Callithrix jacchus: one gene and its partner. The protein of the gene in region 2 interacts with the protein of the main gene of each other region in a biochemical or structural test. Links are inferred from orthologs where the notes say so. Each region holds a gene or a part of one and is shown on either strand. Other genes may lie near its edges.

The links.
Region 1: the proteins of UBE2D1 (region 2) and RNF6 form a complex in vitro, tested with the Homo sapiens proteins (2 studies listed by BioGRID). The link is inferred for Callithrix jacchus from reciprocal best matches to the Homo sapiens genes UBE2D1 and RNF6.

Annotation. Positions count from the first base shown.
Region 1 is NC_133506.1:145,385,343-145,393,383, forward strand, and holds the start of RNF6 (E3 ubiquitin-protein ligase RNF6), read right to left. Parts: upstream 4,670-8,041; 5' UTR 4,349-4,669; exon of another isoform or gene 3,895-4,348; intron 3,807-3,894; exon of another isoform or gene 3,712-3,806; 5' UTR 3,629-3,711; intron 2,058-3,628; exon of another isoform or gene 2,054-2,057; 5' UTR 2,040-2,053; coding exon 1,847-2,039; intron 988-1,846; coding exon 892-987; intron 1-891. UniProt on the Homo sapiens protein: E3 ubiquitin-protein ligase mediating 'Lys-48'-linked polyubiquitination of LIMK1 and its subsequent targeting to the proteasome for degradation. Negatively regulates axonal outgrowth through regulation of the LIMK1 turnover.
Region 2 is NC_133513.1:72,134,560-72,141,831, forward strand, and holds the end of UBE2D1 (ubiquitin-conjugating enzyme E2 D1), read right to left. Parts: intron 5,010-7,272; coding exon 4,916-5,009; intron 4,206-4,915; coding exon 4,160-4,205; 3' UTR 2,205-4,159; downstream 1-2,204.

The DNA.
Region 1 (8,041 bases), on a different chromosome or scaffold from region 2:
CATATAAATGGCACCCTGGAGCAGTGATGCCCATGAAACTTTTTGCAGTAATGGGTATTTTCTGTATTTGTGCTGTTCAATACAGAAGACACTAGCCACATGGGACTATTAAGCACCTGAATGTGGCTAGTATGAATGAGGAGCTAAATTTTAAATTTTATTTAATTTTAATTAATTTCTACTTAAATAGTCACATGTGGCTAGCAGCTACTGTACTGAACAGCACAGTTGTAGAACCATTCTGTTAGCTGAGTAGATTCCATGAGGATTTCATAGTAGCCACATTCAGGTGCTATCTTATTGAGCCATTGCATTTTGGAGTTTCTATACAGACTTTACTGTAACTAATGCAATGATTTTGATATAATATGTGCAACTACTAATAACTACCTCTGAGGAGGGAAGTAGAACTGGTTAAGAAGGACACAAAAGTGGCTCTTACTTTTAACTCTAGATACTTCTATTTAGTTTGAAATTTCTTTTACAGTACTTTCAAGAACTTTTTATATGTAAACCGTCAAACAGAAGAAAGAAACAAAACCAGGTTTCCTAACGGTCTCTCTACATGGTTCTGTATATAAATCTTTAGAAACTGAGTAATACCACTTTATAAAAAGTAGTGTATACATTCCAAGATTAAAAAGACCTATGCTGGGAATTAATTGCATATTATTTCATAAAGCTCTCTGAAGGCAATCTGCATGTTTAAGACATCTTTGCATTTACTCCTCTGTCCTATACTGCTTTACTATTCATATACGTATTATCTGAATGAGTAACACATTAAAACTGGAAAAAATTGAAGACAAACATACTATACTAGTTCTAAGAATTTCATTTCTGCAAGTGCTCCGATCAGGCCTGTTGCTTATGGAAAGGACTCCATAGTACCTCTGTAATTTCTTCCATTTCTCATGTCAGGCTGAGAAGCTAGTTGTTCCTTGACCCCATCTAACCGCTGTTGCAGTTCTTCTGATGTTATTTCTCCTAAAACAATAAAAAATTGCCATTTAAATTAAAAATTGTTTAATTCAATTCTGAATTAAGTTTTCTGAGACCTTATGTAGGGTAAGACTAATCTTTAGTAACTTGCAGAAGACAAATGTCTTATTACTTTCATATGTTCTGCAGATTGAAGACAGTTAAAAATATTTAACTGGTGCAAACATGCATCAATTTGGTTGTGCTTCACTTAATCTTTTATTAAAAATTATTAAAATAAGATTAATTTGAATAGCTGGTGAAGTGCTGCCAACTGATACACTTAGGAACCAATAAGCTATAACTGTGGATTTTTGTCAGTTAAAAAGAAATTAAGGGAGCATTTATACAGAAAACTTCAAATCCATACTTGAATTTTACCCCAAATACTTCATTATATGGGTCTTCAATATACAAACACACAATATATAAATATACAAATTTCCATTAGTTCATTTGTAAAAGTTTTATGGAACACACTGGGCTTTGGGGGGAGTTATTAATTCAGCTGAATAAATTATAATACCCCAAATGAGTTCAAATTGGATTTTAAGTCATATTTTATTTGCATAAAAATTGCAAATAGGACCATATATGTAAATATTTAACACTATTATGTACATTAACCTCCTTAGTAGTTTGGCATTTGTGTAATAGTGCTCCATGGTCCATATTTTCACCTTATAAAATACAGAAGCAAGCCAGTGATTTTCTACTTTGTTTCTACTAAGACGATCTTAAACTCACCAAAACAATACACCATATTTTCATAAAGAAAAGCAGGGAAAACTACCAATTCTCCTTATTTTGAAATCCCTCCATCTAATGATGAAAAAAATTGTCTCCTCTTTTACCCTTCTCTTACCAGGGGTGCCTAAAAGATTATGGTCTCTCATAAGTCGATAATCTTCATCACTGAGTTCATTAATAAACTGATAATAGGCCTCTTCTCTGTGGAGACGCTCTTGCTGCCATCTTCTCTCATTTTCACGATGATTATGGTCTTGAGATAAGGTTTCTTCACTACCACCATCTGATCTAGATCGAGACTGACTCATTCTGAGATTCCTGCCTTTCTGTTCAAACAATATAAACAAAATTCAAGGTGTTATGAACCACATACGACTTTGTGTTTTTAACTTAGTTTTTCTTAATTTTTGAATGCTGTCCCCTACCCAAATACTGTATTTGCCAAATCTTGCAGTGAGAAACTTACATACAAAATGCAAAACAACTTCTAGGAAATACAACACAATTGGAGCTACTTCTTTGCCTAAAGCCATTAAGTCAGACTGGATTTGGGTTTACCACACATCACTCATGCCTGAATACCATAGTGATTATCTCATTTTTTACCTGTTGACGATTTGGAAAAGTTGATCTAAAAGTCCTCATTTATGTTTCAATATCTGGGTACTAAATTTAAATTTTAGGCTTGAATTATTCACATTCTTCACTTAATAAGCAAAAGGCTATTGGGATGATATGATTTACATTTATTCTCAGCAAGGTATTCTTTCCAAAATAAGGCTCATGAAGGTAATATTATCCCTCACTGCACTTTGTTGAGGTGAAAATCATTTAGCCTAATTAATATCTACCAAATAGACTGGGAGGTGATCTCTCCTTAAAGCCTACGAGGAAGACTTTGAAACCCAACAGGAAACCAGACATCATGTATGGCTCAAGGACTGTGGAAGTACATCAGAGCACTTTGTGTCTCCCCATATCAAGCCTCATCCTTAAGCCTGGAATGTTAGTCCCAGGGGTTTCGGAGTGCCAGTGGAACTTCTTGACTTTGCCTAAGAAAACATTATTTTCTGATTATATTTAAATGTCATTCCTGAGAAACTCACTTTTAAACTACAAGGAAATCACAGGAGAAAGATGTTTGTTTCATAATATTCTAGAATTTCATAAATACATCTATTTAGTAAACCACACTAAAGCAATGGTTCTCAAACTCACTTAAGGATATTTTTAAAAACACAGATGCCCAGATCTCATCACCCACCAATCCTCAGAGTTTTCCACGTAAGAGCCAGGTCTGCTAAGAGCTAATTTGGGTGTTCTGCAGCTGCAGATGAAATAAACTATTCCTCGACAATTTCTGGCATGTCACTAAGGGGTATGAGTAATCCAGCAACTGACTCAGGAGAGGAGAGGCTGGAGGCTCAAATAGTTAGGCTACCAGTGAAGCAACTGTACAACTCTGCCTCTCAAAATGTACCAGCTGTTTAATAAACAAGCTGCTTTAAATATAAGGTAAAGTTAGCCTAGAATTCTAAAATACTGTAGGAGCAAGTAACTATTCAATTTCACCTGTAACACTAAATTACAAATTCAAGGATTTTTTTTTTCACTGTGGTTATTTTATTATGCCGTTTTGATCAAAGGACCTAGTAGCATTATCCACTCAAATATGAATTAACACTACTAAAAACTCAAGATTTCTATCTTCAGATTAGGACTATAATTAGCAAAAAGCGTATTTGGTAGGTACAGCAATAATATGATTTTTGTAAAAAATAATTTTACAAGTTGAAACCTATCATAAAATCAAGGTACCTTAATATTAAAATTTAAGAGCTTCTCCTCAAAGGTAATTTTCTTATACAATCAATCACAATGAAAACAAAGTGAATACCTTATTTTCCTTTCAACATGCTTTTAACATATGCCATGGTATCCATCCTTCAATTGTTTGTGCCTTTTTTGAGAGCTGCCCATCTGAAAGCAATAAAAGAGAGTTCAATAAACTCTCTTTGAGGGCTACTCTGCTGCAAAGCCAAAGCAAATTCTCCAGTGGATTTTGTTAGACACGCCTAGAAAAGTAGATCTCCATACAATTAGGTCACGAAAACCTCCCGCAAGGCCCTTCCTCCCACAACAAACTTAGGCCTTTCTTCCTACACTGTCACTGCTCCTGGGTTTACCCTCCTCTCTCAAAGGCCTTCCGTCCTATCCGGTTCCCATTCGGATGTTACCACGGTTAGGCGTCTCCAGTTTACTTCTAAACCTTGACTTTCTCGCCACCCCCGCCCTCTGTCCCGCTACTGGTTTCTTTCCTGGCCGTTGCGACGGAAGCTCGCGCCGGGGGACGATCCTCACTACGATAAACAAAGTGGGCTCCAGGGACCCAACTAACCTCTTCACAACCGAGCCTCAAGTAAACGCTGCGCTTAGCGACCTAGATTCCCACAGGGAAGCAGGTGACAGATGGTGTATCCCAACCAATCACCAGCCGGGGGGGCGTATTAAGAGGGCAGTTAACCAATCGGAGAAGTGGGTGACCCGAAGGATGGCCTGCTTTCCCCGGCGTCTCCAGGAAGTAGTGGTAGGACCCAGAGCTTTCCCCCGAGCCCACCTCTCCAGGACAGGGGCCGTCCGCCTCCTGCCGGGAAAAAAGTCTGCCGCAGGCGGCTGTCCTCTAGGGTGCAGGTGGCTGTGGCTGGGAGGCGAGATAGGCTTACCGCGCCTCCAGAGGCCGCTGTGCCCTCGAATTATCTCCACTGAGGAGAGAAGCCGGAAGGCCGTGCTGCCGCGTGGGGTCGTCCCGCTGTAGGGGGATGCTCCGGAGGAGGAACTGCAGGCTCCAGCACGTCTTTCCCGACAGCCAGGTCGCCCTCTGACAGAGGGTAGTCGCTCCGCAGCCGGCCCGGAGCTCGCCAGTGCTACCGGAAACTGCGTCCGTCGAAAGCTAGGGTGGTTGCGTTCCGCGTTCCGCCCTCTTCGCGCTGCCGTTACAGTGCCTCCTCCTGGAGGCCAAATACCCGGCCGCTCAGCGCTCTTGGCAGCCCCGTAGTCGCAGAGATACAGCCTGCTTTCCAGGCTTGGGAAGTCCCAGCACTTAACTGCGCGTCCGTGTTCCTAGTTTGCCGGCCTGACTACAACGTGCAACCGACTGTCTGTTCGTCTCTTTACTTCCGGGCGTAACGTACTAACCAGCCAGGCCCTCTCCCTTGCTGCTCGTTGGAACCTAGAAATTACAAACTCTCATAAATTCTGAAGTCTGTTTATCTTATCTGTCTTTCTCTATTTGAGACAAGGTCTCGCTCTGTCGCCCAGGCTGGAGTGCAGTGGAGCGATCGTAGCTCATGGCAGCCTCCAGCGATCCTCCCTCCTCATCCCAGTAGCTGGGACTACAGGCGCTTCCCACTAATTTCAAATTTTTTCGTTTGAGAGATGAGGTCTCTACAAACATAGCGGGGTCTCGCTATGTTGCCCAGGCTGGTTTCATAATCGGCCTCGAGCAATCGTCCCGCCTCAGCAAAATGGGATTACAGGCTTGAGGCACCGCACCCCTCTATATTTGTGTTTTTTTACTTTCCCACTAGGAAAGCAGTTTGAAACTCCCAACATTCCTCTCTCTGATTTTATTTCTCAGATGTGAGGCTCACTAAACTCAACTCACCATTAGTTAAGCTGCCGAGTATGTCTCTGCCTAAGCTGGTATAAACTCCGTTCCTGACATCCCCACCATCCGGATGACTTCATCACTGGAGAGTGCTCACAATGCCATTACTTGTCATTCTTTCGTTTGTTCTTTCATTCATATCTGCGTTAACTTTTGAGGAACTACCATATCCCCATTATTGTGCTGGGAACCCGGATAACAGACAAGATGCAGTCCTTAGCATCAGTGAACTGCCAGTGTAGTAGAGATCCATGGACAAGTTTTAAAGATAAGCATATTGATATGGAGACTAAAATGGAAACATATAAAACAGCCTAGAAAGCCCTTCCAGATCTCTCTGCTGCTTACATTTACAGACTGATGTCTTGGCACTCCGAAACTGCTTGAAGTTCCTCTACAAGATATGGGAACTCCTAAGCAACCTCCAACTCCACTTTTAATTTCCTCTGCCCCCCAAAACTCAGCTCAGTTCTCATCTTTAAGGAATTGTTCCTGATAATTCTGAAGTAACACCCTTACCTCACCCTCCAGTCCAGTATCTTCACATAAAACTAGGCAAATGTCCCTTTTGGAGGCTCCCATACTCCCTCTATATAACTATTTTAGCATGTAGCCATGTATTTAACAAATACTGAGTGTGACTACGTATTAGGTGCTGGTAATAACAGCAGCGAATCAAACAGTCAAGTCGTTATTGAATGAAGTCCTTGTACTCTTTTCCTATGAAAAAGCCACTGAGCAAGTACTTAAAATGATTTTCTGTTTTTAGGTCTTTCCTACCTAGAGTCTGAACTCCGTAAGTGTGAACAAATGCTCTTATTCATTTTTGTAGTCCTAGAACTTAGCATAGCACCTGGCAGAACCTTCTCCTCAGCCTACTGCATGGATGAGCAGAGAAAGGTGCAATCTTTTTGGCAAACAGGATTAATGCACTTAGTACAAGGACTTCAGATATTGTGAACACACATCATAGAAAATAACAGGTAGAAATAATTTTTAATATCTGTGAATTTTGGAGAGTGCAATCAAATGCAATAATTCAAGTGCAAATACTTTTTACATGTTAAGTGGAAAAACATATGTGTCTCTTCCTATTTTTCCTATTTCCTATTATATAGTCTAAGAGTCAAAAATTTTATTATAAAAATTTGTAAATAAAAATCCAATCAAGTGATTTACCAGACAGGAAGCTACAGGTTTTTGTGGGTAGAGATACAGGTAATGTATGTAACTTGAATCCAACACTTTGCTTCAGTTTCTGTAGTCCAAGACAAAATGACTACAAAGAGGGGCTTAGACACGATAGCTGGAATAGACAGATGAATCATCCTTTATATCTACTCCAGGTCTCAGAACCTGCCAAGTTCTCTGGTCTAATTATTTCTGTTTATCTGATTGGTACCTGGCCTTTTTAGTGCATATGCCTTGTTTAGTTTCTGGACTTTTTACACTTAGGAATAAAAAGGTGTAAAATAATTAAACCCATACCATTAAAAGGATTCTCTGTATATCTGGTAAATTATGTACTTGTCATGTTTAAGAGATTTTTGGCTTCGCAAAAAGACAGTCTTAATTAAAATTTAAAACACAAAATGGAGCACTCGATTTCTAGTTTTAAGATGAAATCTTACTAAGTTTATGGATGGCATGAGAACAGCAAAGAGAAATTTAGGCTTGCCTTATTGTTTTATTATTAGTTTAAAAATTATTATGTAAGGATTCAAGAAGGAATTAAATTAGACATTTGAAGTACTTATGAATGAGATAAAATATTAAATTTGTAAATACAGTTTAAAATGTTGGTTTGAAGATAATTGCGTATGTGAATGAGACTGAAAGTTAATGAAAGGCAAATTCCAAATGACTGTTAAGATTTACTATAGTTACCACAAGAATAGTAAGAGCCGTAAACCAAATGTAAAAGCCTAAGGTATAACTAGGACATTGAATTTTAAACTAACAAGTTGAATATTAACTGTTTAAGGCAAAGATTTTTTAAAAGAATATTTTCTTTATTTCCTCATAGCTCTTTTAATAGTTTTATTGAGATATAATTCACATACCATAAAATTTGCCCATTTAAAGTGTATAATCCAGTGGTTTTTAGTATATTCAGAGTTGCACAGCATTCACCACAATCTAATTTTAAAACATGTTCATCACCCCAAAGGAAACTCTACACTTATTAACCATCACCCCCATTCCTACTCCACCCTATTCCCAGCCCTGGCAATCGCTAATGTCCTTTCTGTCTCTATGAATTTGCCTATTCTGAGCATTTCAAACAAATGGTATTCTACGTGATGTGGTCTTTTGTGTTTAGCTTCTTTCACTTGGCATAATGTTTTCAACGGTCCTCATGTTGTAGCATGTCTCAGTATTTCATTCCTCAAGAGAAACTTTGGAATAGTCCTTTTCTGCATATAAAAACAACCCTCAAGGACACTCCTGATAACCAGGGTCTTAATTAGGCCAGCGATAGTCTTGGATCAGGTTATCTAGAAGCGGAGCCTGAGAAAAGGATTCTTATTGAAGTGTTTTATTAGGACCGTGCACTCTAGAGAAGAGGATGGAGGAAGCAGGATTGGCCAAGAGGACAAGGAACAAAGAATGAGCCTCCACTGATCCCATGAAATTCACCAC
Region 2 (7,272 bases):
CCATGAGACTGCCAAAACAAGTGTACCAACAGTGCTAACACAAGTGGTTACAACTGTTCCCACAACATGTATTAAGAGTTTACCGTAATATTTCATATACAATTCATAGTGATCTTATGCACTCAAGAGATCTTAACAGTTTTTCCTAAGTAAATTATATGAGGAAAGTGTAGTTCAGACCTTCAGCATGTGCCAGTTTAATAAAAGCAACCTCTTCATGAGAGAAGAAAGGAACGTCTCTTCCTTGATGACAGTAGGACCTAGGAGGGTGCTTACCAAGTTTTTAAAGAAATGTCTCTTGGTATACAAAATGCCTCCCAATACTAATACTTTTAGGTGAATTTTCTCTCTTCCTATTAGTTCAGTTCATTTATAATTTAAAACCATATATATATACATACATATATAACAGAATAATGGGAGCAGAAATGTAGATGTCACAAAATACAAATAAGTGATATAACATCTATTAGGCTGTTACCAGGACACTATCAGCTGTCTACAAATTTTATCACTACTACTGACAAAAACTCCTAAGGAAAACATATTAATCACACAGTTTAAGAAGAGCTTACAGACACATTACTCAGTTCAAAAAGAGAGACAGAAAAAAGAGTAGAAATGACTAGTTATTTACACATAGGAACTTTATAAGTGAAATTAGATGAGTCTCTACCTGCTGCCCTATTTGTGCAATGCAACCATCAGAATGATAAAAGAGAACCATTATGAGATATAAGACCTTTCATAAATAATCTGCACCATATTTTACAGCTATTAAATTGATTAAGCCTCTACTTGAAAGAAAAAAATTGGCCAGGTGCGGTGGCTCAAGCCTGTAATCCCAGCACTTTGGGAGGCTGAGAGGGGTGGATCACGAGGTCAAGAGATCGAGACCATCCTGGTCAACATGGTGAAACCCCGTCTCTACTAAAAAATACAAAAAATTAGCTGGGCATGGTGGTGCATGCCTGTAATCCCAGCTCCTCAGGAGGCTGAGGCAGGAGAATTGCCTGAACCTAGGAGGTGGAGGTTGCGGTGAGCCGAGGTCACGCCATTGCACTCCAGCCTGGGTAACAAGAGCATAACTCCATCTCAAAAAAAAAAAAAAAAAAAAAGAAAAGAAAAAAATTGTGAAAGTCGAAGTGATAAAATTAATTTTTAAAAAATCAGATTTATTGTTTTATTGTATTAACAATCACTTAAAAGATTGAAACAAAGATAAACAGTATTTCAACAATCTGAATACAATGAAGGTTTGTTTTTATGGCCATGGCTAAAGCATTGATCACATTTTCATAGCTAGTCCTAAGAAGGTAAGAGTAACAGGACTGATGATTCTACTGCAGAACTCAAATTCTAAAGCATAAGCAACTGGACTGGGCTTTTGTGCAGTTCAAACTAACTACCAATAAACAGGCATGATATAGTTTCATAATCAAGAACCTCTTTTAATTTGGGAGGGAAATTAATTTCCTTAATCTCTCCATTTAAAAAATACAGAACTGGGAAAGCAGGATCCTGACAAATGTCAATAACTAAATCATCAAAGATAGATCACTGTGATAAATAACATAAACCTGCAATGTATTTTTATCATTTAATAAAGTAACTTTTGAACATTAACTCTTAAGAGTTGCCCTTGATATACAGTTCATTTATAAAGTAATTTTTAATTTTTCCTATCAGAGTTTAGAGGGGTAAAACCGGGAGATAATGCAAAAATGAATAATTAAATGTGGTTGGCAGAGGCATATATGTAAAGCTTGTACTTCAGGAATCATGCTTTTGAGATAGTTGGAGGATAGTGGTGAGGCTGCCCTTACAACCCGTATCACTGATGTGGATAACTGCTGTATATGGCAGTTACAAGTGTTCAAAATCCAATTTGAACATGGTTTTCAACTATGCAACTTCAAGAGGTGGGATCCTAAATCCCCAAAAGACTATCAATTTCTTTCACTCCAAGGAAGTCCTTAAGTTAATGCTTAATCTACGAAAAGGCCCTGGCTTTTAATCTATGGTTTTAAAAAGTAACTGATGTTCTCCCTGTTAGAATTAAGCAACGATAATATGCCCAAAATGGTGATCTGACTGATCATGATGCCACTATGGAACTCAACGTTTTTAGTTAATTATTAGAACTTCTGCTTACTCCTTGAGTCTAGTACAATCCAGATGTAAGCAAAGGCAAACGAGTTAGGCAAGTTTCAAAAACTTTAATAAAGAAAAAAAGACACTTCCAAAAATAAATGCCACACAAATGAAAGTTGTTTCCTTTCTTTAAGGGAAGATACTCAAGAAACAAAACCCTTTACTATCAAAATATACTAAATACTTTAATGATGTTGAGTGTTCAAATTCAGGGCAAATGTAGCTTATAATAATATAGCTAGGTAGAATTTTTCATGATATGGCTGTTTTAAGACATCACTTTATAGAGTTACTTTTTAAGCCTATATTTTCTTAAACATTCATTTCACAATTCATTTATTTTACATTCATTTATAAAAACACATATTTTCTAACAATAGGTTATTTTGTGCTTTAATAATAATGAACCATAACAAAATACTCAAGTGATTTAAACATTTTGCTAATGACTACACCCATCATAGACTCTTACACACTTCTACAGCTACTGCAATAATAAGAAGTGCTACAACTGTTCTTAAAAATGACACTCGCTCAAGGTTGATAAGCATGCTAAACATTAAAGAGATGTATTTTCCCCCACATTAAAACATAAAAACTTTCTAGTTTCCTTTAAAATCTATAAAGATAACCTGCTTATTTAAATCACTTTTGGATGGCCACTTATAAAAACAGAGGGAGGCATAATTTTAGAACTTTCTTTGTAACTTCTATAGTAAAAAACAAATGCTTTTCAAATTGTGATGACATTAAAATTCCATTTTAGAAATTCTACGTTTTAAAATTTTAAGAAATATGTCAATTACATGGGGTGGGGTATTTTAATGAATTAATCTAGTGATTTGTACAGGTCTATAAAGACCATTCTTCAGGATGAGTGATACTGCCTCATATTCATTTCAGTACTTTTAACAAATAATCCATTTAGATATAATCCCAGACAAACCCCAAATTATTCTAAATTCTCTTCCACAGCAAGGGATCAACATATATCATCTTATAGACTGACAATTTAGTAAAGAGATACTAACCTAAAACAATAAAATTTATATAACTAATGGTGACTAATGCCAAACATAATAGATCTGATTTTCATAATTTGGAAGTAATTTTCATGCAAAATTTTAGAGTTTTGATCCTTAATTATATTTTTATATTTTTAAGTAATCAAGACAAATAGTAGAAAAAGCATTTTATTTATATGGAAAAAGCTACAGTAATATCTGTAAAAGGTGTCAATATAATATTGCCTATACAGGAAAAAATTCAAATGTGAATAGCAACAAATAAAAGTTACACATCTTCCTACTTAGCAGTGCAATTAATTCACATTGCAATAAAGTTAAGTCAAGTATAATAAAATCAAAACAAGTGTTTCTCCATAATCAGTATGCTGATTATTACAGTGTAAAGATCATTTCAGATTTAAGAAATCTCCAATCAATCTACAGAATATCCTAAGACAAGGGAGACACAGTTAATTCACTTAATTATCAGCTGCTGGGGTTTTTCAATACTGTTCACAGGGAAAAAGTAATGAGTTGACATACATGTAAATAGAATATATTTAGTCTATACAGTAAAAAAATACAAATTATAAAGTGAGCTAACAAAGAATGAAATCTGAATACAGATTTATAAAACTGACATCTTAGACAACACATACAGTATTTCTCATGTAAAAACATCTAGTTTCAGCAAAAAATAATTTGGTTGCTTTTCAGCTGCACTGTAGATCTTGTAAGCTGAAGATGCAGATGTCCAAGTATTTAAAACCATAATAAATGTCTTTCTCAATGCATACAAAATGATAAATGCTCTCATCACAGTCTTATGGGTATTTTTGGAAGTTTGTTTTGTCTTGCTTCAGAAACACATTTAAAATGGGTAAAAATCAAATGGTTTCATGGTACAATGAAACAGTAAACAGTGCTCAATTTACTGCTAATGTTGAAAAAAATCTAGATTTTACAGTACTCTGGTATATATGAAAATGTTTTTGATTTTACATTGCATATTTCTGAGTCCATTCTCTTGCATGTCTGTTGTATCTGTAGATATACAAAAAGAATATAATAAAAACATACAAAATTAATATTTTAGAAGCATCTGTCTATATAAAACTATATATTCCTTTTATACTTAATTGCAATAATCACACATACATCAATTATTGGGTCAATGGGACTTAGGTTCATGCAGAAATAAAACGGGAAGGACAATTTTTCAACTAATGGATTTCTCTGCAATCTGTATGAAAATGTATCCAAGTATATGAAAAAGAAAATGCAGAAACCAACTTTTAATAGAAATGTACAAAGCCAACCCTGAAGAAGCATTATCTACAAATTGCAAATAAACCTACAGTACAGGCAAGCTGAAGCAGCTTGAGAATTAGGTCAGTGGGCATAGAATTAGGATGGGCATAGAGAGAACTCATCTTCCTGGGAGAAGATAGGCAATACAGTATTTAATACTTTCCAATGATTAAATTATTTCATTTTTAATTTACCACCTAGAATATATATATATATATTTATTTTTCAAATACAGACTATATACTATTGAACAGGAAGTGGGAAGAAACAGGATTTATTGTAAAAGGACAAACTGAGTTCTAAAAGAAGGGTTTACTCCACTGGAAAAAGATAAAACAATATATGCACAACAAGCTGTACTTAAAATACATTGACAATATTCATGTTTTAGCATACTATATAGGAATGTATCCATACAGAAACTAAGATAAGTTAACACTTACTTTTCTTTGTCTGATTTATAGATTTGTGCAATATCTGGTACTAAGGGGTCATCTGGATTAGGATCACAAAGTAGAGAACATATGGACAATAAAACTAGATTTAAAAAAGAACATCATATTAGACAATAATCTAGTTCATATAATTACACATGTGAAAATGATTTTAGTGAATACAGATACTAAATTTATTAGAAAAACAAAAGAAATGAACATATGAAATTATATTTTATTCTATTTTGGTTGATAGCAAATGATCTTTAATTTTTAAAGTTATAAAATTACCCTAAGATGGGTAAAATATGAAATTACTTTAGCTTTTGAAGTTTTAAATTCTATTTGAGTTTCTATTTACTTAAAAAAGTGACCCTCCAAAGTAGCTATTAACAACCTTTAAACTTGAGAGTTCTCTACAGAACAATCAAATTACACTTAACAGTCCATATACCATTTGGATACTGTGCTCAGACACTCTTTTACTTTGGCTTAGAGCTATAGTCTGTCTACAAAGAAGAAAAATTTGTAAAAATTTTTTCAGTGAATCTTTACTTCATGTACTTTATTCATGTTGTATGCATTTAAAAATAATGTGAACAGCTACCTTCATATAACTTGCATATTTTAAAATAGAAATGAAAATTGAAAAAGTAGTTGTTACTCCAGTATGTCAAAATCCTAATGCAAATAGCTACGCTAAAAAAAAAAAAAAAAAAAAAAAAGACAATCTAAGATCTAAGTATCTGAAATAAGAGGGAACAAGGACTGTGGTTCCTCATTTGTCTGCTTCAATTGCATGCCACCACTTCTGAGGAGTTTCAGGGAACGTCTGGACCAACCTCCCATATCCACTTGCCCCAACCTCATTGTGTTTCCTTTCTATTTTCCTACTCTTTCAAATCCAAAGGTGGATTTATAGAGCAGAGCTGACTTATATGACAGGCAAATGGGGGGTATTATGAACTAAAGAAAAAATTAGTATTTTATGCATCTTTCTTATCTTCTATCTGCCCAATGAAACTTCAAGCCTTGTATATTAAACCAACAGGGTAGATTTTCCAGGCTGACTTACAGCCCCAGAATGCTTTCAGACTAACCTCATGATAAAAAGCAAAAGAAGTCATTTAAAATATGGAAAAGCTCCAGGCATGGTGGCATACACCTATAATGCCAGCTACTTGGGAGGCTGAGGCAGAAGAATCGTTGACCTTAGGAGTTCAAGATCATCCTGGGCAACACAGCAACCCCATCTCAAAAATAAAAAAAATTTAAAAAATAAGCTGGGCAAGGTGACTCACATCTATGATCCCAGCACTTTGGGAGACCAAGGCAGGAGGATCACTTGAGGCCAGGAGTTTGAGACCAGCCTGGTCAACACAGCAAGACTCTGTCTATATTTAATTCAAAGAAAAAATTTAAGATAAAAAAATTAAAAATTAAAAAAATAAATATAGAAAAGTAAAAAAATGAGCAAGGTACAATCTATCTTATAAAAAATAAGCAAGAAGGAAGTTCTTCCTCTGCCCACTCCTACTGCCAGGAGCCATTTGCCTGAATTTTACTATCATGCACACAAACCATGTCTATCCTTTAAGGTAAGGAAAAGGGTAACAGTTAACATTCATGTAAGTGCCCATTATGTGCTAGGAACATAGCAACCCTATATGGTAATACTATAATACTCCCCATTTTACTTATAAGGAAGCTGAGGCTGGTTCATTTCTCAAAGGATGGTTTCTGGAATCTAACACTACTGATTTTTTATAAAAAGCTACCAATGTCAGAAGATAAGTACTCAGCATCCGGCAGTCTGCCATTTCTTTTCTATGTATAAGGACTTAGCTGTTTATGCCAAATGAGATTCATTTTGTGACATCATTCCAGGAAAGAGCATATGAACTTGAATTACTCTTCAACACAGAATCTTTCATATATCTAATGCATGACAGAAACACTGTGTGAAAGATTCTTAAAAGAATATGAGAATCTATATGAATATTGCAGATGAGCATCTTAGGTCAGAAAAACTACCATTCATAAATAATTGAACTGAAAGAGCTATTATTTATCTAATACTTGAAAAAGCTATGGCTGTGGACTCTGCTTCCTATAAACCTTATTACTTTTAAAAACATGTTGTATATTCAAGCAGCAATTATTAAAAATAAAAAATGAGAACAGATTGCTTTCATAAATCCCTTCAAGAGAAACATTTTCTTCAATTTTATAAAAACAGAAAACTTGATGGTTACTTCAGTGCAGCTGCTTCTAACCTAAATAATATTTTCCAATTTTTAGGTTCTCTTCTTTTAGAGAAATAAGACATAAATTAAGAGTGCTAGTACAGTAAGTAGTATTGGCTA